Macaca fascicularis: one gene and its partners. The protein of the gene in region 3 interacts with the protein of the main gene of each other region in a pairwise test. Links are inferred from orthologs where the notes say so. Each region holds a gene or a part of one and is shown on either strand. Other genes may lie near its edges. The genes, in order: NINL, VIM, KAT7 and DVL3.

Evidence for each region.
Region 1: the proteins of KAT7 (region 3) and NINL interact in a two-hybrid assay, tested with the Homo sapiens proteins (2 studies listed by BioGRID and IntAct). The two-hybrid records come from large-scale screens. The link is inferred for Macaca fascicularis from reciprocal best matches to the Homo sapiens genes KAT7 and NINL.
Region 2: the proteins of KAT7 (region 3) and VIM interact in binary tests that used the Homo sapiens proteins (3 or more experiments, as listed by UniProt). The link is inferred for Macaca fascicularis from reciprocal best matches to the Homo sapiens genes KAT7 and VIM.
Region 4: the proteins of KAT7 (region 3) and DVL3 interact in a two-hybrid assay, tested with the Homo sapiens proteins (2 studies listed by BioGRID and IntAct). The two-hybrid records come from large-scale screens. The link is inferred for Macaca fascicularis from reciprocal best matches to the Homo sapiens genes KAT7 and DVL3.

What each region holds. Positions count from the first base shown.
Region 1 is NC_088384.1:61,900,436-61,905,354, reverse strand, and holds part of NINL (ninein-like protein), read right to left. Parts: intron 4,814-4,919; coding exon 4,643-4,813; exon of another isoform or gene 4,522-4,642; coding exon of another isoform or gene 4,501-4,521; intron 1,801-4,500; coding exon 1,649-1,800; intron 250-1,648; coding exon 109-249; intron 1-108. UniProt on the Homo sapiens protein: Involved in the microtubule organization in interphase cells. Overexpression induces the fragmentation of the Golgi, and causes lysosomes to disperse toward the cell periphery; it also interferes with mitotic spindle assembly.
Region 2 is NC_088383.1:18,135,562-18,141,245, reverse strand, and holds the start of VIM (vimentin), read right to left. Parts: upstream 3,345-5,684; 5' UTR 3,200-3,344; coding exon 2,637-3,199; intron 1,973-2,636; coding exon 1,912-1,972; intron 1-1,911. UniProt on the Homo sapiens protein: Vimentins are class-III intermediate filaments found in various non-epithelial cells, especially mesenchymal cells. Vimentin is attached to the nucleus, endoplasmic reticulum, and mitochondria, either laterally or terminally.
Region 3 is NC_088390.1:56,919,543-56,925,073, forward strand, and holds the start of KAT7 (histone acetyltransferase KAT7), read right to left. Parts: upstream 3,831-5,531; 5' UTR 3,674-3,830; coding exon 3,659-3,673; intron 276-3,658; coding exon 128-275; intron 1-127. UniProt on the Homo sapiens protein: Catalytic subunit of histone acetyltransferase HBO1 complexes, which specifically mediate acetylation of histone H3 at 'Lys-14' (H3K14ac), thereby regulating various processes, such as gene transcription, protein ubiquitination, immune regulation, stem cell pluripotent and self-renewal maintenance and embryonic development.
Region 4 is NC_088376.1:96,083,789-96,088,707, forward strand, and holds part of DVL3 (segment polarity protein dishevelled homolog DVL-3), read left to right. Parts: intron 1-60; exon of another isoform or gene 61-74; coding exon 75-184; intron 185-375; coding exon 376-511; intron 512-688; coding exon 689-782; intron 783-997; coding exon 998-1,067; intron 1,068-1,692; coding exon 1,693-1,832; intron 1,833-2,012; coding exon 2,013-2,089; intron 2,090-2,171; coding exon 2,172-2,239; intron 2,240-2,391; coding exon 2,392-2,541; intron 2,542-3,144; coding exon 3,145-3,276; intron 3,277-3,462; coding exon 3,463-3,630; intron 3,631-4,919. UniProt on the Homo sapiens protein: Involved in the signal transduction pathway mediated by multiple Wnt genes.

The DNA of each region.
Region 1 (4,919 bases), on a different chromosome or scaffold from region 3:
CTCCACTCAGCCACACTCGCAGCTCTGGCCCCTGGCAGCCCTGTATCTACTACCTGACCTCAAAGGGGCTGGGGAGGCCCAGGTAAGAATCCTGGGCCTAGAACCCACTTGATTTTCTTCTCGGTGAGCTGCTCCAGGGCAGAGTGGCAATCATCCATCTCTTTCACAAACTCCAGGTTCCTCTTCTCGGCCCTCTCCAGGTCCTGCCTTGCCTTGTCACGCTCCCTCACCAGCTGCTCCACCTGCCCTCTGCCACAGGAAGGAGACAGGGTCAGATGGGACCCCACTGCTGGCCTGACCCACCGTGCCAGGCAGCTCTGGGCCCCGTATCCGCATCAGCAATAGAAACCAGCACACCAGCTGTACAGCGGGCGCTGCTCCACCAGCCTGCTCCTGAGGCAGTTTCTACAACTGCTATGCCCATTTTCCAGATGTGTACACTGAGAGAGAGGGGCCACATGACTTGGCAAGGAAAGTTTCTTGGTGGTTTCTAACCCAGGAAGACTGAGCCTGGAGTTCCACAGCATGCCACGTTGCTTAGGCAGCCCCAGGGTGTGTGGTAGTTGGTCTGTGAGCCCTCTCATCGGCAGCTGGGTGTGGATCACAAGTGCCTAATTCAGTAACGGGCACATGGCGGGGAGGAGGCTGGCCACCTGTTAGCCCTGCATGGGCATCCCAGCACCCTAGTGAGCACACAGTGAGTCACCAGAGCACAACACAGTGGGTGTGTGTGGTCTCAGCTCTGTGGCCACCCTGACCTGGCTGAGGCACTGTGTAAATCACTGGTGGCACCTGCTATTCCAGTGACTATTTCCCCGCCGAAGGAGCTTTTCTCCCTTCCTGTCCCAAGGCCAAGGGAGGGACCTGGTCAAGCCTTTCTCTGGTTCTATCTGCAGAGCTGCCTGAGGCCAGAGGCTCCGCTGTCAGCATGTGGACAGATGCAGTCTTTAGGACTGAGATTGTGGTTTCTGTCAATCTTTTCTGCAGCTTCAGAACATTGACAAAAACACAACAATCTTTTTGCAAATCTGCTTAGCAGACGGATGGCCTGAATGGTCAGCCACAGCAAACAGACACAATTAAAAGGGAATGGGTTCTCGGCCCCTCACGGGGTACTTTGTGACCACGTTTGAAAAGCACCTTTTCTTCCTCCTGTTGACAGCCCAGTCTGGGAGCCCCCTGGCGCTAGAGGCAGCGGCAGGACCCCACCTGGCGCTGGTGAGCGCCTGCACCAGCAGGATGAGGCGGGGCCTCAGGTCTGTCCTTTAGAAACCTCAATAAAAAGGGCTCAGTGGGGGCCCCCAACATACAGATCCCAAGCCTCAACAAGTGGGAGGGAAGCCAGCAAGCCTTAAATTGTGTGGACTCAGACAGCCCAGGTCCTCAGGCCCCACCCAGCCCACACACATGAATGAGCGGCTGCCATTCACCTGTCCATGCTCCGTGGCTAGATTCTACTCCTATCCCTCTGCGAGCGCCGGCTTCAGGGACCAGAGAGCACGGGACAGACGGTGTGCAGAGCCCTGCCCCAGGACTGACCATGTGGTGTGGACAAGAGCCAACTGGTATCCTGTGTGTCCCAGACACCCCTCCAGGCCCACCTGGCCAGCCACACTGCCACGTTCCCCAGTCCCCTGCGGCCTCTTACTGCTGGTAGCTCAGTTCCTGGTGGTAGCAGGCCAGGGCTGCCTGCTGGACGGCACTGTCCACTGTCATGAGCTCGTTGTCAAGGGCCCAGGTCAGCTCCAGAAGGTTCACCTTCTCGTCCACACTGAAGTCCAGGCTCTGGAAGCAGCAAGCCTGGTAAGCAGGAGAGGCTGAGGGACTTCCCCAAGCAGACACCTCTCTGCTCCCTCCCTGGTCCAGGGCCTAGCCCAGCATGACTGTCCCAGGCAGCACCCGCCCCTCCTGTCTGCCAAGGTCTCTGCGTCTTGAGGGGTGCTCCTCCTCCATCCCTCGCAACTCTGGTGGGCTGTCAATGGCCTGGTCCTCCTGCCTCTGCCTCAGGGGTGCATAGGCCCAGGCTAGACAGAATTCCTCTTCCTGGACAAAGTGTCAGACACAGGCAGGGGCAAGTCCCCTGCAGGCCCTTCATGGGGACTGCTGTGAGGCCAGAGCACAAGGCCCTTTTCCCTCTGAAATAATCTGTTTTAAGGATGTGAGCCTTGGGATTCCCTGCGATGAGGCCTGCCCTGCAGCTCATGCCACCAGGAAGAGTTTAGAGAGATGGAGAGGGTCCCCACAGCAGCCCTCAGGCTTAGAACCAAAAAGCTTTCCAGAGCGGACTGTTCTTCCCCTCAGAAGTGTGAAGAATACACCTCACAAACTTCAAAGCACAGAACAGCTGGCATTCTACTGATACAACAAAAAATAGAGCCACACACACCCTAAGCCCCTCAGCTCAAGGGAGCGGCAGCTAACGTTCTGTCGCGTTTGCTTTTTCTGCCTCTGCCTTTTCCGCCTCGGGTATTCCTGGCTCTGCTTTCCACTTGTGGCTACAAACGCCCTGCTCAGGCCAGCGGCAGGCACCATGGCAGGGTGGCTGAAGCAGGTGCCAGGAGAAACCCGGCCCAGAGTCTCCCGTGAAGTAGGGGCTGACTTTCCACGCTGCCCACTTCCCAGCAGCTCCTGAGGAGCAATGGCATCTTGGCAGAGGCTGGGGAGCTGCCTGGAAAGCTGTCCCTACACAAGCACACGCTCCCCGCCACGTCACTGGATGGCATAGAGGGACAGAGCCGCCACAGCAGCCTGAGGTCAGAAATGACACTGAGTTGCAAGGCAGAATTTGGCAGCAATCTATTATGAAGTGAGGGAGAAGCCACCCAGGGTGTCTTTGCAGAGCAGCACCAGCAGCTCTAGTGCAAATGGGAAAGAGAATAAGTTCTGAAAGGGCAGAGGCAAGATGTACTCATCAGAGCCAGGGCACAACAGCAGCCAGGGAACTCCCAGAGCTGTGGAGTCAGGTGTCAGGCATCTTGGAACTGAGAGACCTGTGCTCTCTGCCCTTCCTGCAAGCGATTTTTGGTGATCCTGCCTCCGCCTCTGGCTCTCAGGACAGTTGTGAGGCCAGCTGTACAGGTCTGGCTTTGCCATCTTGGGGGACTCAGTAACAGATGAGGTTGGGCCTATGAGGGTCTTGGTCCGTGGAGTTGAGTGGACTGTTTCAAGGGCTGTCTGGGCTCCTTCCTGTATTGTCTGTCTGTGCCAACAGGACATTTTCTCAGGGAATATGACAGAGCCTCCAAGAGTTACAGGGTGCAACTCCAGGAGTCCAGCCTCAGAGAAATGCCAGCATAGCAGCAAGAGGACATCGATGCATATAAATGCTCAGATTTTTCTTTTCTTTTTTTTTTTTTTTTTTGAGATGGAGTCTCGCTCTGTCGCCCAGGCTGGAGTGCAGTGGCCGGATCTCAGCTCACTGTAAGCTCCGCCTCCCGGGTTCACGCCATTCTCCTGCCTCAGCCTCCCGAGTAGCTGGGACTACAGGCGCCCGCCACTGCACCCGGCTAGTTTTTTGTATTTTTTAGTAGAGACGGGGTTTCACCGTTTTAGCCAGGATGGTCTCGATCTCCTGACCTCATGATCCGCCCGTCTCGGCCTCCCAAAGTGCTGGAATTACAGGCTTGAGCCACCGCGCCCGGCCAATGCTCAGATTTTTCATAGGAAAAGTGAAGGGTTGCATAAATTTGCAAGACAAACGGTATGACACCAATTTTGCAAAAAATATATATATATATTGTCAGAATGTATAAATAATATGCATCTCTCATGTGCCAGGGAAAAGTTCTGCAGGACGCCCACCACACCAACAGCTGTCACCCCCTCCAGGGAATGGGGGAGGGGCAGGTAGGCTTTCTTTCTTATTTAATAGGTTTTTGTTCAGTTGACATCCTTTCTAACAATGGAAAGTAATGAAAATAATAAGTCTAGTCCACTGTACCTCGTGAGGCTGTCTTTCCTCACCCATGCTGGGCCCCTGCACACCTCTGCCCCTGCACAGGTGTCACCAAATTGTGCCCAGGGCAGAGCTCCTTCCAAATCTCCAGGGCTGGCCTGCGTCCCTCTGGGAAGCCTGAGCCTGTGAGGAGCTGTGTCCCATGCGAGGACCACATCTTCCCTCCCAGGCAGCCCCAGCAGAACACAGAGGGAAGGGTGCGCCTCCTGACACCTGGCCCATGGCGGGAAGGGCCTGGGGTAAGTGGGTGCCATGGGGGAGAACAGCCCAACCAGCCAGGCAGGGGCTCCAGGAGAGTTCGGGCTCACTCTGAGCTCATCAGTAACTGCAGTGACAGTGGTGCCCAACAGACATCGACATCACAACAGGCAATTTCCTTCCATTCATCTAACCTCCTTGGCCCAACATTCAGGGAAAATGTCTAAGCCACTAAAGGCTACCTTCAAATTGACTTTTTCACACTATCTTTGTATTTTATTTCTTATCCTTTTAAATTATAATGTCCTATATTTTAGTAGCAAAAATTAAAAGATATAGGTTTCTACCTGGACTTCCTTGCATGGCATTCTCTGCACAGAGCACAAACCCCTGCTGGGTCCCTGGCTTGGGGTGCTCCATCCATCCTCCTCTGCAGCAGACGGGCCCCCCAGGTTCCCTGTCCAGCTCAGGCATCACCCAGTTCCAAACCTGCAAGATCTCCCTGCCATTCTGAATCCCCTCTTGGGTCCACATGGCCAGGACCTGATCAGGAAAAGCGAAGCCAGAACCATCGTCAATGCTGGAGAAGAGGCGCAGGCTGGAGCACAGGGACACGAGGGATGAGGTCGTGGTGGTGTGGCAGCCGCTCTCCTCTGGGACCTGCACGTCAGGAAGACTCCCATAGCACCCAGCGTCCAAAGCCTCACGCCCGTGCGCTGCTGATGTGCTCTCCATCCTCCCCAGCCTGTGCTCAGAGGGCCTCACA
Region 2 (5,684 bases), on a different chromosome or scaffold from region 3:
TGCTTTCTCTGATGGATTTTTCTTCTAAAACTCCTTTGACTCATCCTACAAAGGCGTGTCTTTTTCGCTTGCCACTGTATCCGTTCAGTTGGCCTGTTTCAGAATGACTGGTCAAACTTGCAGAGAATGAAACTACATGAAGGATTTTTGCTGATTCAGCTGTCCTTCTATGTTTCCATTTGTAAAGCTCAACATTCCAATTCAGAACATGTAATCTTGCAACTAAGATTTTATTTCCTCTCAAAAGGATGCGTGAGGATTGTTTATCTTGTCAGCAATTATATTTGGAGTTCAGTTTATAGCCTTATGGTCTTAAACTGTTGAGACTTTTCTATCACCTTAGTGGAAAAATGAATGAAGAGTGGGTGATAAAAAGATCAGACTTGATGAAAACATTCATTTTTACTTGCTAAGCCCTAAGAAATACATAAAAGATATTTTACTAATCTCCAAAGAAAGATCAATGTGGTATTACTATTACATTGAAGAGAATGAGGAATTTTGCTTAAAGAGAATGAGGAATTTTGCTTAATCTCGAAACAGAGGATCTTTTGTATTGATGTTGTTTTACGTTAACTCACTACTCTGCAGAAAACATTACAGGTATGATAATCAAAAATGCTCAAGGACTAAAATGAACCACACATTGCTGTGGTTAAATTAATTTGGTAAATGTATTTCAGTTTCAAAATGTTGTACTACACTATTCATCTGAGAGTGCTTTGTAGTTAATCCCAGTAAATATTCCAGGGAATAAAACTATAGACTATAATGGGGATCTTCTGGCTTCTGGATTCCAATTTTAAGTCAAAAATTCTATAAGTCCATCCAATTTTGGTGGGAAAAAAAAAAACGCACAAAAACCCTTTAGTTAAAATTGAATTTTTCAGCCTTAGATTTATTACTATTATTATTATTTTTTATGGCGAGAGTGCTAAAGAATACAAGAATCCAATCAAGAAAGGACTTTCAAAATGTGAGGTATGTTTGTAGCTTTAAAAACTTTTTACATTACATACTTCTCAAGTCTGGGCCAGATATTAGATAACGGATGTTAGCAAATACTTGTGTCCAATTAGAACCGTGCTTACATCACTACATATTCAATAAGAATGTAGCCTGCTGCAAAGCTTCCCCGGGAACACAAAGACTCCTATTATTTCTGTCCACAGCCACCACATTTGCCAGAATGTCTGTATCTACATTCCATAGTGAAGCCCATAGAAACCATTAATACCCCTCAGCCGAGGGGACAGATGGCTCCTTTTCACCCTTATTAGATCACAAAATAGTTGTGCATAGTGATACTTCCATCGAACTTTAATGCCACAATAGAAGTTGCAAAGAAGAAAAGAAACTTGCTGGCTCCATTCCAGTTGGAAACTAAGTTTTCTTATCTTCCAACACGTTTTCCATTTTAAACTGTAGGGCATAACTGCGCTTTTTGTGACCTTGTAAAAATTAAGCGACTTGACTTTGGCAAACCACAATCTAAAATTGTGACCGTTCGAAACCAGAAGGTCAATGTGTTGCAAAACTGTGCAACATTTTGAAAACAAAGTAGAAAGTTAAAAGATTTTTCTTTATGTCCCAAGGAACGGCTTAGAAATCATTCAAGGATCGCTTGAACCCGGGAGGCAGAGGTTGCTGCGAGCCAAGATCTCGCCACTGCACTCCAGCCTGGGCGACAGAGTGAGACTCCGTCCCCCAAAAAAATCGTCCAAGCGGTTTTATTAATATTTTTTCTAATAATGAGAAGCTCCAATCTGTGGTCTTCCCGCCACTAGAGGGCTTTACGCGCAGCCCTGAAGTTTTGCACTTTTTAGACGTGGGTTAAGCAACTTTTAGAATTGCTCGTGGGTTGTGTTGGGTGGGGTCAGGTAGCTGCGAGTGGGAAGAGAGCCTACAAACCTGTCTGAAAGATTGCAGGGTGTTCTCGGCTTCCTCTCTCTGAAGCATCTCCTCCTGCAATCTGAAACAGTTGCGCATTAACCAAAGGGGAACTGGGAAACCGCCAGGGGCGGGGCGGCCACACCCAACCACCACGTAGCCGCGCTGCGCCTCCAGAGCCGCTGCGCCACCTCGGCGCAACTAGCGCTTGCAGCTTTCAGGCCTGTGGCCCTCGGCAGGTTTCAGTGGGACCTTGGGCACCGCGCAGAGGGGCAATCACGGTCGCCGCACAGACCTGCAGGACAGCGCCGCCATACCCACCCCCGAGAGACCATCCCTTTGTCTCGCTCCCTCCACCGCCTTCCCCTCCTTCCTTCGCCCGCCCGGCGATTGGCCGCCCGCCAGAAGGGGCAGGAAACTTTATAAAAGTTTGGAGGACTCGCTCTCATTGTGCCCAAGGGCCTTCAACTGCACACAAAGTGGTAGTTTTAAGAAATCTGTAACTTGAAACGGAGCGTCCTTGGGCAATGTGTGGGGACAGAGGGGGAAATGCGAACTGCAAGGTCTGGGTTCTGGGCGGGGCTGCGCCGCCACAGCCACAGCCGCTGCTCTCCGCAGTCCCCCCGGCAGGCCTCCCCCGGGCCTCATCCCCAAGGGCGTGGCAGCCCTGGCGGGGGCGGGGGGCGTTCCCCTCTCCCTCCAGCCCCCTCCCGAGGCCCAGCGACTTGCAATGGGCGCAGCCTTACTTCTCCCGGAGGCGCATGATGTCCTCGGTCAGGTTGTCGCGCTCCACCTCGACGCGGGCTTTGTCGTTGGTTAGCTGGTCCACCTGCCGGCGCAGCTCCCGCATCTCCTCCTCGTAGAGGTCCCCCAGGCGCGACTTGCCCTGGCCCTTGAGCTGCTCGAGCTCGGCCAGCAGGATCTTATTCTGCTGCTCCAGGAAGCGCACCTTGTCGATGTAGTTGGCGAAGCGGTCATTCAGCTCCTGCAGCTCCACCTTCTCGTTGGTGCGGGTATTCTTGAACTCGGTGTTGATGGCGTCGGCCAGCGAGAAGTCCACCGAGTCCTGGAGGAGCCGCACCCCGGGCACGCTGCTCCGCAGGCGCACGGCAGAGGAGCGCGTGGCATACACGCCGCCCGGGGACGAGGCGTAGAGGCTGCGGCTGGTGCTGGGGCGCAGCGCGCTGCCCAGGCTGTAGGTGCGGGTGGACGTAGTCACGTAGCTCCGGCTGGAGCTCGGCCGGCTCGCGGTGCCCGGGCCGCCGAACATCCTGCGGTAGGAGGACGAGGACACGGACCTGGTGGTCATGGCTGCGGAGGGTGGCGATGGGCTGGGCTGCGGCGGTGGCGCGGACTGGCTCCTAGAGAAGAGGCGGACGAGGGCGCGGTGGGTGTGGGTGGTGGGAGCGCGGCTGAGTCTCTGGCGCGGGGACCTCGGAGCGAGAGTGGCAGAGGACTGGACCCCGCCGAAGGCGCTGTTTTTATAACCGCATTAGGAAGGAGGGTCCCCTCCCACTGCCATCCCAGCGGCGGAGCGCGCCAGCCAATAGGGACCTGGCGAGAAGCGGGGAGGGTGGGCGGGTGGGGTGGGGGCGCCCTCGAGCCTTTCTCCTCCAGGGCCTGGGACTGGGCATGGTCCCGTTACTTCAGCGCTGGGCTGGGACTTTTGGGGCTTTCCGGATGATAGTCTGAGCTGGGCTCACCCTGGGGTGCTGAAAAAGGCGGGGTCGCGCGGTGAGGGGGGATCCGCCCGGGACTGAACCAGAGGAGTCCGGTGGCACCGCGCCAGAGGGGCGTGGGAGGAAGCGCGCGGCTGCCTCGGGGCTGCGGTCAGGTGGGGAGACCCGCGAGCAAAGGAGCGGGAAGAGGGAAGAGTAAGGGATCCGGCAGATCTGAAGTCGCTGAGAAAGAAACAAAGAGCGCCTGAGATTGGAACGCGGGATGGGGGCGCGCACAGCTCAGGAACGCAGGGCTCAGGGCCCCGCGCAGCCTCGCTCACCGCCCGCTTGGAAAGGGGGGCTGCTCCGGCCCGCGCCTCTGTCAGTCGACTTGCCTTGGCTGGGAGATGTTGGGGGGGAGGGGAGGCTCTATCGAGGGACCTAACGGACTCAGTCCAGCTTCGGACGGCGGGAGTTGCCAGGCGGCGGTGGCAGAGGAAAGCCCGAGGGAGAGGGGTGGGGTCGCTGAGTCACCGGTGGTGACTCACCGCGCCCTGCTGTCCCGCCGATTGAGGGCTGCTAAGCGGTTTAGGGGAAACCGTTAGACCAGATTGACTCGAGTCTCCGCGGCTCCGCGCGTGCTGCTGGTTCCCAGTCCTACCAACTTAGAGCTGGGCCATCGCTTTGATGTGTGCGGTGGGGCCCTTTGGGGGACAAGAGCGCCTCTAAGTTCTTATAACTCGCTAAAGCCTGACTTTGCTCGATGTGTGGACTTTTTGTTAGTAAGAAACTTCTTCAGCCTTTGAAGAGGCGCCATACGTGGGCCTCCTGGATCACGATTGCACCGGGAAGGTTTTTCTTGCAGAGTCCCCGCCCCCGTCCCTCCGGTCTCCTCTCGCTCTTCCCCCTCCCCGCGTGAAACCACACCCAACTTTTTAAACAAGATCTGAAAATTCTGGGTGAAAGAGGAAACTCAACGTCCGTAGTTTCAAAATCGAACTCAGTGATCAGTGGTTTTCACCCTGGTGGAAGTTATTAAAGGTATAATTTGAGCCAATGAAATAATTAATTAGGTGTTGCTTAAAAACCCCAATTTGATTAATGAGTTCAAATGAAAGGCAATTATATAACACAAATGACAGAATGTTTGGCGGCAATAGATTTGTGTGTTAATTTTAGGACAGCAATGCACAGTGCAGGGTTCACGGTGATTTGTCTGGGAAATGTCACAGGTCCTGTTTTCCAGAAGAATTCGTGCAATTGACCTTGGGGTGAGGGGGGATAAAACTGTCCACGGAGCAAAAAACTTCGTGTCCCAGGCACGGAGGGAGTGTTCAGATTCGGTCATCTTAACCTTTCTAGGGAAATCACTCAATTCAAGGGCTGTTGTTTCAATATTAGTAACGAGCAGAGCTGAGTACTCACCAGCCAAGGGAGATAAAAGGCGGCTATGTAAATCAGTCTTCTTGTGATTTAGTAGCAATTGAAAAAGCACAGGTTTTTTGAGTATTTAGATTTATGGTGTACTGAAAGGATTAACTACAGAACCACTGTAAAATCGATTCTGCAGTGGATAGGAGGGAAAAAAATGCATTTCTTTCTTTCTTTCTTTCTTTTTGGTGGGGGCAAGGGGTACTGCAGGTTACCTGGTATTTAAGAAAAATAATTTAGAGGCCAATGAAGAGCTTCTTCTGACTTCTTCGGACAAGCCTCTTTTAGGCAATATTTTGTTTACCTTATCCCGGTTCGTTCTTGCAAATGGTGCTGCCAAGGTGGAATTACAGGACTCTCTACTGCCCAGCTCGCCTGCTGGGGCTTTCTTTTATTCTCTCTTTCACTGGGAGGCTGCAGGTCATTCCCCAAGAGCATTCCTGGGGCTGGGTGCCCTGGAGGACAAACCTATGCTCTGAGTTACATCTTGCTTTCTGAGAGCCCTTTATTCAAGCCACTGCTCAGCAAATGTCACCATTGTGAGTTTGCCTGGAACCCTTAGAATGAGAAAGGCGATCTCTGTATGGGAGGAAGAGAGTGTGGAACTCACTTCTACATGCAATGCCGATCCCAGGGCAATGCGGTGGCACTGTCAGGGGACACTTGCGGACTGACTCACTATGGAAAAGGAGGACAAGGCATTGG
Region 3 (5,531 bases):
ACCAATCATCTGGTGCACCGTCATCTACACCAAGCCAAGGGACCAGTTTCCACATTAACTAGGAAAATAATGTGATGGGCCAGTCAGCCAGATGTGAGGAGTGGTAAGGAAAAATGAAGATTTTTACCTTGAGAACTCTGGCTTAGCCTGGCTGAGGAGCGGGTGACTCGAGCAGATCGTCGGGATGTGCCATCACTTTCTGAACTGTCTGTGTGCTCGAGATCTGTAGAAAAATCGGAATCTTCGGTTCCATCTGAACTACTGCCTGCATTCCTCTGTAATACCATAGATCCAGATATTAGCACAGAAGCATTTGGTCTGAGGGTTTGCATTAACATTGAAAATAAAACAAGCTGTGACACCGAAAACACCAAGTTCAAACCTAAGAAAGGATTCCACAAGCATTTCCCATCCTCCCACCCACCCAGGCAACTTCACTTTATTTAGAACACTTAAATGGAACAATGTACAAATAAGGGACTTTTGTTAAATAAATGAAGAGCTTCCATTTCATTGGCTCCCGTTGCCCAGGCTGGAGGGCAAGGGCACAATCTCAGCTCACAGTAACTTCCGCCTCCTGGGTTCAAGTGATTCTCCTGCCTTGGCCTCCCAAGTAGCAGGGACTACAGGCACCCACCACCACGCCCAGCTAACTTCTATATTTTTAGTAGAGATGGGGTTTCACTATGTTGGCCAGGCTGGTCTTGAACATCTGACCTCAGGTGATCCACCCGCCTTGGCCTCCCAAAGTGCTGGGATTACAGACGTGAGACACCACACCCAGCCATGAAGATAATTAATTCTTACTGTATTAGCACTAAGTATGAACCAAGATCATTCGGAGATCAGTATCACAAAAAAAGGTCCACTGTAGTGAAAAAATCGTTGGTGCTAGACCTCATTTAACTTTAGAGTAGCTTTTGTTAAATGTCTCCATGAAAAGCTATCATATTTTTTTAAAACCATATACCATCTCAAAATATCATGGACCACAACTCTGATCCCAAAAGAATTTAAGCAGAAAAAGACGAAAATTGTTACTGCGTATGCCATCTATCCTTGAAGTTTCTCCACATGAAAGCCATCTATCTTTCAAAAAGGCAGCTTGCACATGGAGACTCATGGGTATTCAAAAACAGTTGTTTTCAAAACCATCTTTTCAATGAACAATTATTTGTCAATTATTAACCTCCTCAGGAGTTCTTTCTTAGCCATAAAGATAACTTTTATCAATTGAGCACTAACACTATACCCTTTACAAAACCAGAAAGGAAAAAATATTTGCTAAAAATACAAAGATTCACGCTGTAAGTCCCAATTCTTTATTCAAAACCCTGAGGGCCAGTTGTGTTTAGAATTCGTATTGTTTTTTTATTTTTAGAAGGGGAGTACTTTGCATGTATCCTGCAAATATTGGGTGCAATAACAAAACATAATACTTCTGCAGCAAAAGATATAAACAGTCACACTAAATGAGACACACAAAAACCGTAAGTAGCCTCAGGACAGATTAAGACAGGTTTGCCGCCAAACAGGTTACTAAAAAAATGTACATTTTCAAGAAACTCCTGGTATTCAGGAAATTAAGAAAGAAGACAGGCCGGGCGCGGTGGCTCAAACCTGTAATCCCAGCACTTTGGGAGGCCGAGATGGGCGGATCACGAGGTCAGGAGATCGAGACCATCCTGGCTAACACGGTGAAACCCCGTCTCTACTAAGAAATACAAAAAATAGCCGGGCGAGGTGGCAGCGCCTGTAGTCCCAGCTACTCGGGAGGCTGAGGCTGGAGAATGGCGTGAACCCGGGAGGCGGAGCTTGCAGTGAGCTGAGATCCGGCCACTGCACTCCAGCCTGGGCTACAGAGCGAGACTCCGTCTCAAAAAAAAAAAAAAAAAAAAAAAAGAAAGAAGACTGGGGCCCTATTTCAAGGCACCAATATTATTCCTGCATTTAGTGAGCCTTAACACACATACCACCGGCTGGGCGCGGTGGCTCATGCCTTCAATCCCAGTACTTTGGGAGGCCGAGGCGGGTGGATCACCTGAGGTCAGGAGTTCAAAACCAGCCTGACCAACATGGTGAAATGCTGTCTCTACTAAACACACAAAAATTAGCTGGGCGTCATGGAATCCGCCTGTAATCCCAGCTACTAGGGAGACTGAGGCAGGAGAATCGCTTGAAGCCGGAAGACAGAGGTTGCAGTGAGCCGAGATCATGCCATTGCACTCCGACCTGGGCAACAAGAGCAAAACTCCATCTTAAAAAAAAAAAAAAAAAAAAAAAACCATACATACCACCCACCAGCTGAGATCATTTTAGGAGACATTAAAAAGCATACATTTTCAGCCTGAAAAACCTCTGTGAAGAGAAAGATTTCTACTGAAATGAGCAAGAATACCACCCAGTTTTCCAAATATCTCAAGGGTAACCTGCCAGGAAATGAGCAAGAATCACAGAAAATGTCTAAAATAAGCAAGAATCACAGAAAACAGCTAAAATGAAGGGGGAATCTTAAAAGTCACCATTACAGTCTAATTATCTAGATATTTAAAGCGTTGATGTGAGACTTGTTCCTTCCTGGCTTGATCCTGGAACTCAGCTCTTCCCTGTGGCTTTTACCAGTATACCTCCCATTGTACTCCAGAGCAGACCAACTGCTCCTTCACTTCCTTCCTGTAACACTTTGTATACACCTCCAAGCAGAGAACTTACTAGATCGTCCTAAGGTTATTCATGTCTGTTTTCTCCTATCGGGCTGTGATACCCTTAAGCCAGGGATCACGTCTAATAAATTTCTGAATCGTCAGCAACCACCGCGCAGAAAGTAATCAATAGACATTTATTCAATTGAGTTAGATTTGTTCTATATTCTGGACCTGCCACTGCCTGAGTGGCTTGCGGCACTCCATGGACCTCCGTTAGTTCAACTGTAAGAAGTAGGGGGCCATTCCTGGGTGACCTCCTAAGTCCCTTCTAATTCTAGAAGGTTTCGGTTTTTGCCAACTGCATTTTCTAGGAGCTGTCGAACTAGCAAGTAAAGATTACCGCTTGGAGGCAACTGGCCTGAGTGGGATCCCATGGGAGTGGGCGCCGGCTTCCCACCACCCAGTCTTCTGCTTTGTTGTGCCCCTCACCTGGAAAGTAACGAGGCCTCCAAAACCCCGCCTCTGCACCTATCAGCGTCCCCGCTCGGAAAGGCGGGGATTCGGGCCACCCAATCGAGGTCCGCCTAAGCCGCGCCCCCACAGGACAGACTGCCAACCCCGACCAATCAGGAGAGGAGGGATCGTTCTCTCCAGCCAGTGGGAGAGCGCTAGGGCCGGGGCCAGACACCGCCCCCGCACGCGGGGAGGTGACCGTTGAGCCCAAACAGGCGGCGTCACCAGCCAATCAATATGCTTCCTGACGTTTCAGCGACCAATTAATAAGAACGCCTCCGATCCAGGCAAGCAGAGGGCGGGAATAGTTGCAAGCATAGGCCGAGGCCAGGGTCGGGCCCACATTTTTCTGTTGGATATGGACAGAAGAGAGGGTGGCTGAGCAAGGTTCGGGGGAGCGGGAAGTTGGGACCCAAGCACTGTGAGGCGTGGCCAACTGCGTCACGGTGCTCAATCGACTGTCCTTAGAAACCCGCCATCCCTCCTCTCCCGTTTCTCACCTTCCTTCGCGGCATTGCCGGCGGCTGCGGCCCGACGGTTCCGATTCGGGCAGCGGCGGCAGCAGCAGCAGGAACGGTGGCTCCGGCGGGCTCCGTGGCGGCCTCTGTAGCAGTCCCAATCCTGCGGACGATCCCTAGTGCCTCCTGCCTCTCAGCGTCTGGAGCGTTCTGCGCAGGCGCCGCGGGCTGAAGCGCTTTTTCCTTCACTTCCGGCTGGGTCTCGCGTCCCCTGACGTTACGGGCCAAAGAGGGTGCTGGGAGATTAGATCCTTTTGGTGAAGCTAGTGGGCGCCATTTTGAAGTTGGGCAGAAAGTGACTCCAGTGGTGGAATCCGGGGCCAGCCATTTTTAGTTAACGTGAGTGGCGCTGTTTGTGGGCGTGGGTAGCCATTCTTGTTTGGGGCAGAAGCCTGACAGTTGATGTAAACGGTTCTCATCTTTACCTAGGGCAAAATTTCCCTTCCCGGTCGTTTTAATTTCCAGAGTCGAGGAAGGAAACCCCCCGGAATCCATCAGGTTGCTGAGATTAGATTTAACCCCTTCGTTGCCTGATTGTTTAAAGGACGTTTCCGTTTATTACATAAACTCAAAAGTTGCAGAGGGATGTTTTGTGAAAGAAACTTTGTATTTTAAGAACCATCCTGGTGCCGAAGGGGTGGGAATGGGGAATTGAAAAAGGAACTAAAGGGTAGCGTCCGCCATCAGGAAGTTTCCTGTCTGGTAGAGGAGACATTGTCCTTGCTCTTAGCTAACAGCAAGTAAGTTAGTTGATGTCGCGGGGAGGAGGCAAAACCATTCTCCAGAAGCTGCAGCTCAAAGAATTCCCAATTTAGCTCTGTGGCGAGCGCCCACTTCCTTCCCGCACTGTGTTTGGGTTTGAGACCACTGGGGGCCCTGGGGTGAAAAATGTGATTTGAAAGTGTCCCGGGAATGCAGTACCAGAGTCAGAAAAGCATTGAACCCCATTTAGCTCAAATGACCTCTGGAATCCAGATGCTTGAGGCGGAGGAAGAAGAGGGAATGTTTTTACTGAAGCTGAAGCCCCCAAAAGAATGGAAATTTGAATAATAATGAGAGGGCCTAGGAAGGAGAGGTTGGTCACTGATACTAGGCTGAAAGAAGACCCTTAAGAAAAGGCTGGAAAGTGGAGAGCAGGCGTTGAAGATTTAACCTCTCTGGAGGAAAGGCCTTGAGAGGACCAAGTCTTGCCCAATTGCGGCTGGGTGGAACCCAGGCACGCTCAGTCATTAAGTTAGGATCCCTAACCCCAATTTCAATCTGAGGCCCCTTTAGATGGAGATTTCCCCCCGTTAAGATGGAGATTTTCCCCAGGGGCTAAAGAACAAAGTAGCAGAAGGTAAACATCTGATTGATGTGCTAAGTAAAGAACTCAAAAGAGTTAAAGTTCCAGACCCTTAGCCAGCACTCTCCTTGGGGATGTCCTGGGCCAGTGTTGACACAGGCAGCTTTTAGTATTTAATACTTAGCTTTTAGTGCTTAGTATAAATACCTTTGATAACCTACTTAGGTTGAACTGCACGTAAGAACTTACTTGAAAATGGCTCACATTACTTCTTCCTTTGTAGCCCCTCACCACTTAAGCATTTAATTTCATACCATTACTCTGTTATTTTGCACTTACTGATATGTTCCTGAGGTTACATTTGAATGTTCTGGCTCCCCAACTGGTGGTAAGAATCTCTTATATTAAGAGCATATCTCAATTATTTCATACCATCCTTCTTTTTTTCTCTCTCTCTTCTTCTTTTTTTTTTTTTTTCTTCCTAGATAGAGTCTTGCTGTGTAGCCCAGGCTGGAGTGGTTGAATGTCAGCTCACTGCAAGCTCCGCCTCCTGGGCTCAAGGGATTCTCT
Region 4 (4,919 bases), on a different chromosome or scaffold from region 3:
GCATCAGCTCAGCCCAGGGCTGGGGGAGGGAGCCCCCAGCCTGGCCCCTCCCCCATCAAGTCTCTTCCCTGCAGCCCTCATGCTGGTGGGGGCAGCCAGGAGAACCTGGACAATGACACAGAGACGGACTCCTTGGTGTCTGCCCAGCGAGAGCGGCCACGCCGGAGGGATGGCCCAGAGCATGGTATATCTTCCTGAACATGGACACCGTCTGTACCTCACACCCTCCCCACAGTTTCCACCCAGCTACCCACCTCCTTGCCCTACTTCCTGAGCTCAGGATGTGCCTGGCCCCGGTGCAGCCCCTGGCTTACCTCTCTACCTCCACTCCTGCACTGGGCACTGTGTAAACCCAACTGCTTCCATCCCCTGCAGCAGCTCGGCTAAATGGAACTGCAAAGGGGGAGCGGCGGCGAGAACCAGGGGGTTATGATAGCTCATCCACCCTTATGAGCAGCGAGCTGGAGACCACCAGCTTCTTTGACTCAGATGAGGATGATTCCACCAGCAGGTGGGGCTTGAGTTTCATGGGGATTGTGGGGCAGGTGACCCTGGAGGAGCCCTAAACCCTGAGGAGGCAGGGCCCTGGGAGGCTTACGGGCTTTGTGTTGGGGACCCAGGCCCTGCAGTGCCTCTCATGGGGGCAGGGCTGGGCCAGCCTGGTGGGGAACGACTGTGGGCCCCACAGGTTCAGCAGCTCCACAGAACAGAGCAGCGCCTCACGCCTGATGAGAAGACACAAGCGGCGGCGGCGGAAGCAGAAGGTTTCTCGGATTGAGCGGGTATGGGGTCTGGGAGGCTAGGGATGGGTGGAGGTAGATTGTAAGCTCTTCCTAGGCTGGGCCAAGGCTTGTTTTTCCTTAGATCCCATCCCCTTAGTGCACTGTTTAGAACCTTGGGGCAGGGGGCAACACTGAGGACTCACCTTGAGGAGGAGCCAGGTGGGAGTGAATTCCTGCCACCCCTGCCTACTGCTCAGGGCCTCTGTCTATTTCAGTCCTCATCCTTCAGCAGCATCACGGACTCCACTATGTCACTCAACATCATCACGGTCACTCTCAACATGGGTGAGTCTGAGGAAACAGCACTCTAAAGCACTTGCTATGTGCCAGACACTGGGCAGACTTGAGGAGCTCAGAGAGGCACAGAATATGTTCCCTGCCCTCAGGGAGCTCTCTTTCATAAATATCAGCTGATACATAAACTGATCATTTTAGTGTCTCACCATCAGGGCTATGACAGAGATAAGCACAGAGAGCTGTGGAAGCAGAAAATGGCATCAGGGAAGGATTCCTGGAGGAAGTAATTTCTGAGTGCCCACTCCTTCACATCTCTCAGCCATTGCATCCTTTCTCTCTGATTTCTCTCTTTACGAGGCAGCTGGATATAGTAAAAGGAGCCCAACTTTGGGATTTAAATCTGAGTTTGATTCCTGGCTCTGCCAGTTACTGGCTTAGGAAAGTCATCTTCTAGGTTCACTAAACCTCAGTTGCCTGCTGTGTAAAATGGGACTGAGTCCCTACCTTACAGCCAGCAAGGATTCCATGGAAGCATGTTGAGCATGCTGAGTGCAGTGCCTGATTCAGGATCAGTAAATGTCAGTTCAGTTCCTGTCCCTTTCCATTTTCTAATGGGCTGGGAATGCGGGTAGGAACCTTGCTCCCCCTTAAGGTCTTAAATTGCTCTCTATAGAAAAATATAACTTCTTGGGCATCTCCATTGTGGGCCAAAGCAACGAGCGTGGTGACGGCGGCATCTACATTGGCTCTATCATGAAGGGTGGGGCTGTGGCTGCTGATGGACGCATCGAGCCAGGAGATATGCTGTTACAGGTATCAGTGCCCATCCTAGGCGGTGGTGTGGATAGAGAGCCGGGAGGTGTCCTACTATCTGCACCCTGCTCATTCAGAGGCCCTTTCTTGGTTGAGGGAAGACTCCCTGACCTACCAACTTGAGTTCCCCTTTCATCCTCCCCAACACAGCTATTTATCCCACTCCTGGTCCTTTCCCAGGTAAACGAGATCAACTTTGAGAACATGAGTAATGACGATGCAGTCCGGGTACTGCGGGAGATTGTGCACAAACCGGGGTATGGATGGAATGGGGCACTGGGCAAGGGGCTTGGTCTGGCCTGTACACATCCTGCCTTCACAGGACACCCTTGTTTTCAGGCCCATCACCCTGACTGTAGCCAAGTGCTGGGACCCAAGTCCACGTGGTTGCTTCACATTGCCCAGGAGTAAGTGGATGGGAGACTCAGTCCTAAAGCTGGTGCTTACATACATGAGCACTGTCTCTCCTTTCTTCTCTCACCCAGAGCCCCCACATCTATCCTGTTGGGCCCAGCAGTGGGCAGGGTGGGTAGCCCATGACTCCTCATCCTCCCTGCAGGCGAGCCCATCCGGCCCATTGACCCTGCGGCCTGGGTCTCCCACACTGCAGCCATGACCGGCACCTTCCCTGCATACGGCATGAGCCCCTCCCTGAGCACCATCACCTCCACCAGCTCCTCCATCACCAGTTCCATCCCTGACACAGAGCGTGAGTGTCCAACCCTGTGTCCTGGGCCCAGCAGACAGGGCCAGGTGGGAGGACTGATGAGGGTCCATGTGGAGACTCTTGCTTGAGCATCAGAGAGGGCCGGAGATGGGGCTCGGCTCATTCTAGCAACCCCACACTGCAACTCCCCCACAGTGGGCACTCCAACCCTCACTAAACAGTGTTTGCTTCTGAACCTGTATGAGCACCCAGGGCGCCTCAGTTTCCTCTTATAAAATGGGACTCACGAAATAAACTACCAGGTTCCTGTGGGTTTAATGAGAGGATCTAAGTGAAGCACCACTGCGATGTGTGGTGTAAAGTAAGCATTCAGTAAACGGCAGCCATTTCGATTATCATCACATGTATATCGCACACTGTGCCAAGCATCTGCATTTATATTATTTAATCCTTTCTTCAAATAGCCTTGTAAAGTAGATATGAAAATCCCCATTTTTTATAGAAGGGGAAACTGAGAGTTCAAGAAATCAGTAATTTTCCCAGCATTGGTCCCATAATTACTAGGTGGTAGAGCTAGAATGCAAACTCTTGTTTACCAAACTCCAAAGCCCCTTTCTGCCTCACCATTCTGCCTCCCACCCCCAGGCCTAGACGACTTCCACTTGTCCATCCACAGTGACATGGCTGCCATCGTAAAAGCCATGGCCTCCCCTGAATCAGGGTTGGAGGTCCGTGACCGCATGTGGCTCAAGATTACCATCCCTAATGCTTTCATCGGTGAGAGAGCCCCATGGTGGGATGCAGGGTGGGTGGGGAGTGATGGGGCAGGGCAGGCTGGAGGGCCCAGGACTTCCCTTGGACCCTTCCTTTGAGCTGGAGCCAGCCCCAGCCTCATAGCTTCTGTGAGGCCAGATGAGTCCAAGTCAGATGGGCCTCCCCATCAACTGGCAGCCTTGCCCCCAGGCTCAGATGTAGTGGACTGGCTGTACCACAATGTGGAAGGCTTCACGGACCGGAGGGAGGCCCGCAAGTATGCTAGCAACCTGCTGAAAGCTGGCTTCATCCGCCATACCGTCAACAAGATCACCTTCTCCGAGCAGTGCTACTACATCTTCGGCGACCTCTGCGGCAGTATGTGCCTCCCTCACCTTCTTGCCCTGTCTCCTGGCTGTGAGTGGGGAGGTAGCCAGGGAGGTGGCAGCAGACTCTGGGGAACCCAAATTGGGGGACAGCAGAGCCGGGGGCCCAACTCAAGGCCTGAGAGTTCTGTGGTGGAAGAAGAGTCCAATCTAGCCTCTTCACCTGGCCCACATCTCCCTCTTGGGCCTGGCATTTTCTAAGTGCCTGCTCTGCCTGGTACCATGCTGACTGTTCCTAAAGCATCATCTTACTCAATCCTCACAACCTCCCAGAGGCCCAGCTCAGGAGGATACTGCCAGAACAGGCCTTTTCCTTCTCACTGGTCTCTGCTAGGGGTGTTGCAGGCTTAAAGGGAAGAACTGGAGGCCTAGGTAGCCCCAAGGAGCACACAGTCATTCCCTCTAAACAACAGCCTGGAGGCTCACGTCGCCACCAGCTCTGGGCAACAGCTGACACAGACCACTGCTTTCCTCCACCACCACTCCCCATGCTGGCTGCTGGCCTCTTGACAGGTTGATGGCTTGGCTGCAGGCTCCACAGGCAGCCTCAGAGCCCTGTGTCCTGACTTCTCTCCTGGAGGTTGGGCTGGCTCTCCTTAGGGCTGGAGGAATGTCTCATCTTAATAGGGCGGGTGGCCTCAAGGGCAGTCGTAGCTCTCTTGAGGCTCTGGGACCTGGTACCGATAGTGTGTGAGCAGAGGGTGTCCCAGGCAGGTATTCAGTTCTGGTGGCCCCTTATACTCTCTTCAAGGTAGTTCCAACAATGGTGGGAGCAGCCTTGCCCTTAAGGAATGTATAATTTCCCTGGGGGCGCCAGAGTCCGTGAGATGAGTTGTTGGAGTGAGACAGAGCTATGAAGAGCCAGGGCTGGCCGGGAACGGGGTGGAGAGCACTGGGGGAGGCACCTAAGTTGTTCTTTGCTTCTGGCCCCTTCCAACCTACTCCAGCAGCACCAGGAAAGTGTAATCAGGGCCAAGTACCTTCTATATAGGGAATCTCTGGCAGGCCCTGCACTCATTCTAGGCTTTTAGTGGGTATTTAGTTCTAGGTGAGGGGGTGGGTAAAACTTTACCTAAATTTCCCAAACTGCTCCTTGCTCCTAAAGAATGACCTCATCTGAGAAGGTAAGGAGAAACTAAGCTACTCTTAGCTTCTGTTCTGATTAGTTTAGGCTGAGCTGAAGGTAGTGTTCACTATTGTGCTTCATGAACTTCAGGTGCGACATACCTGGTGGCTGTCTGGTATTTCAGCCTTCCAAATTCTCCAACCTTGCACCAGCTG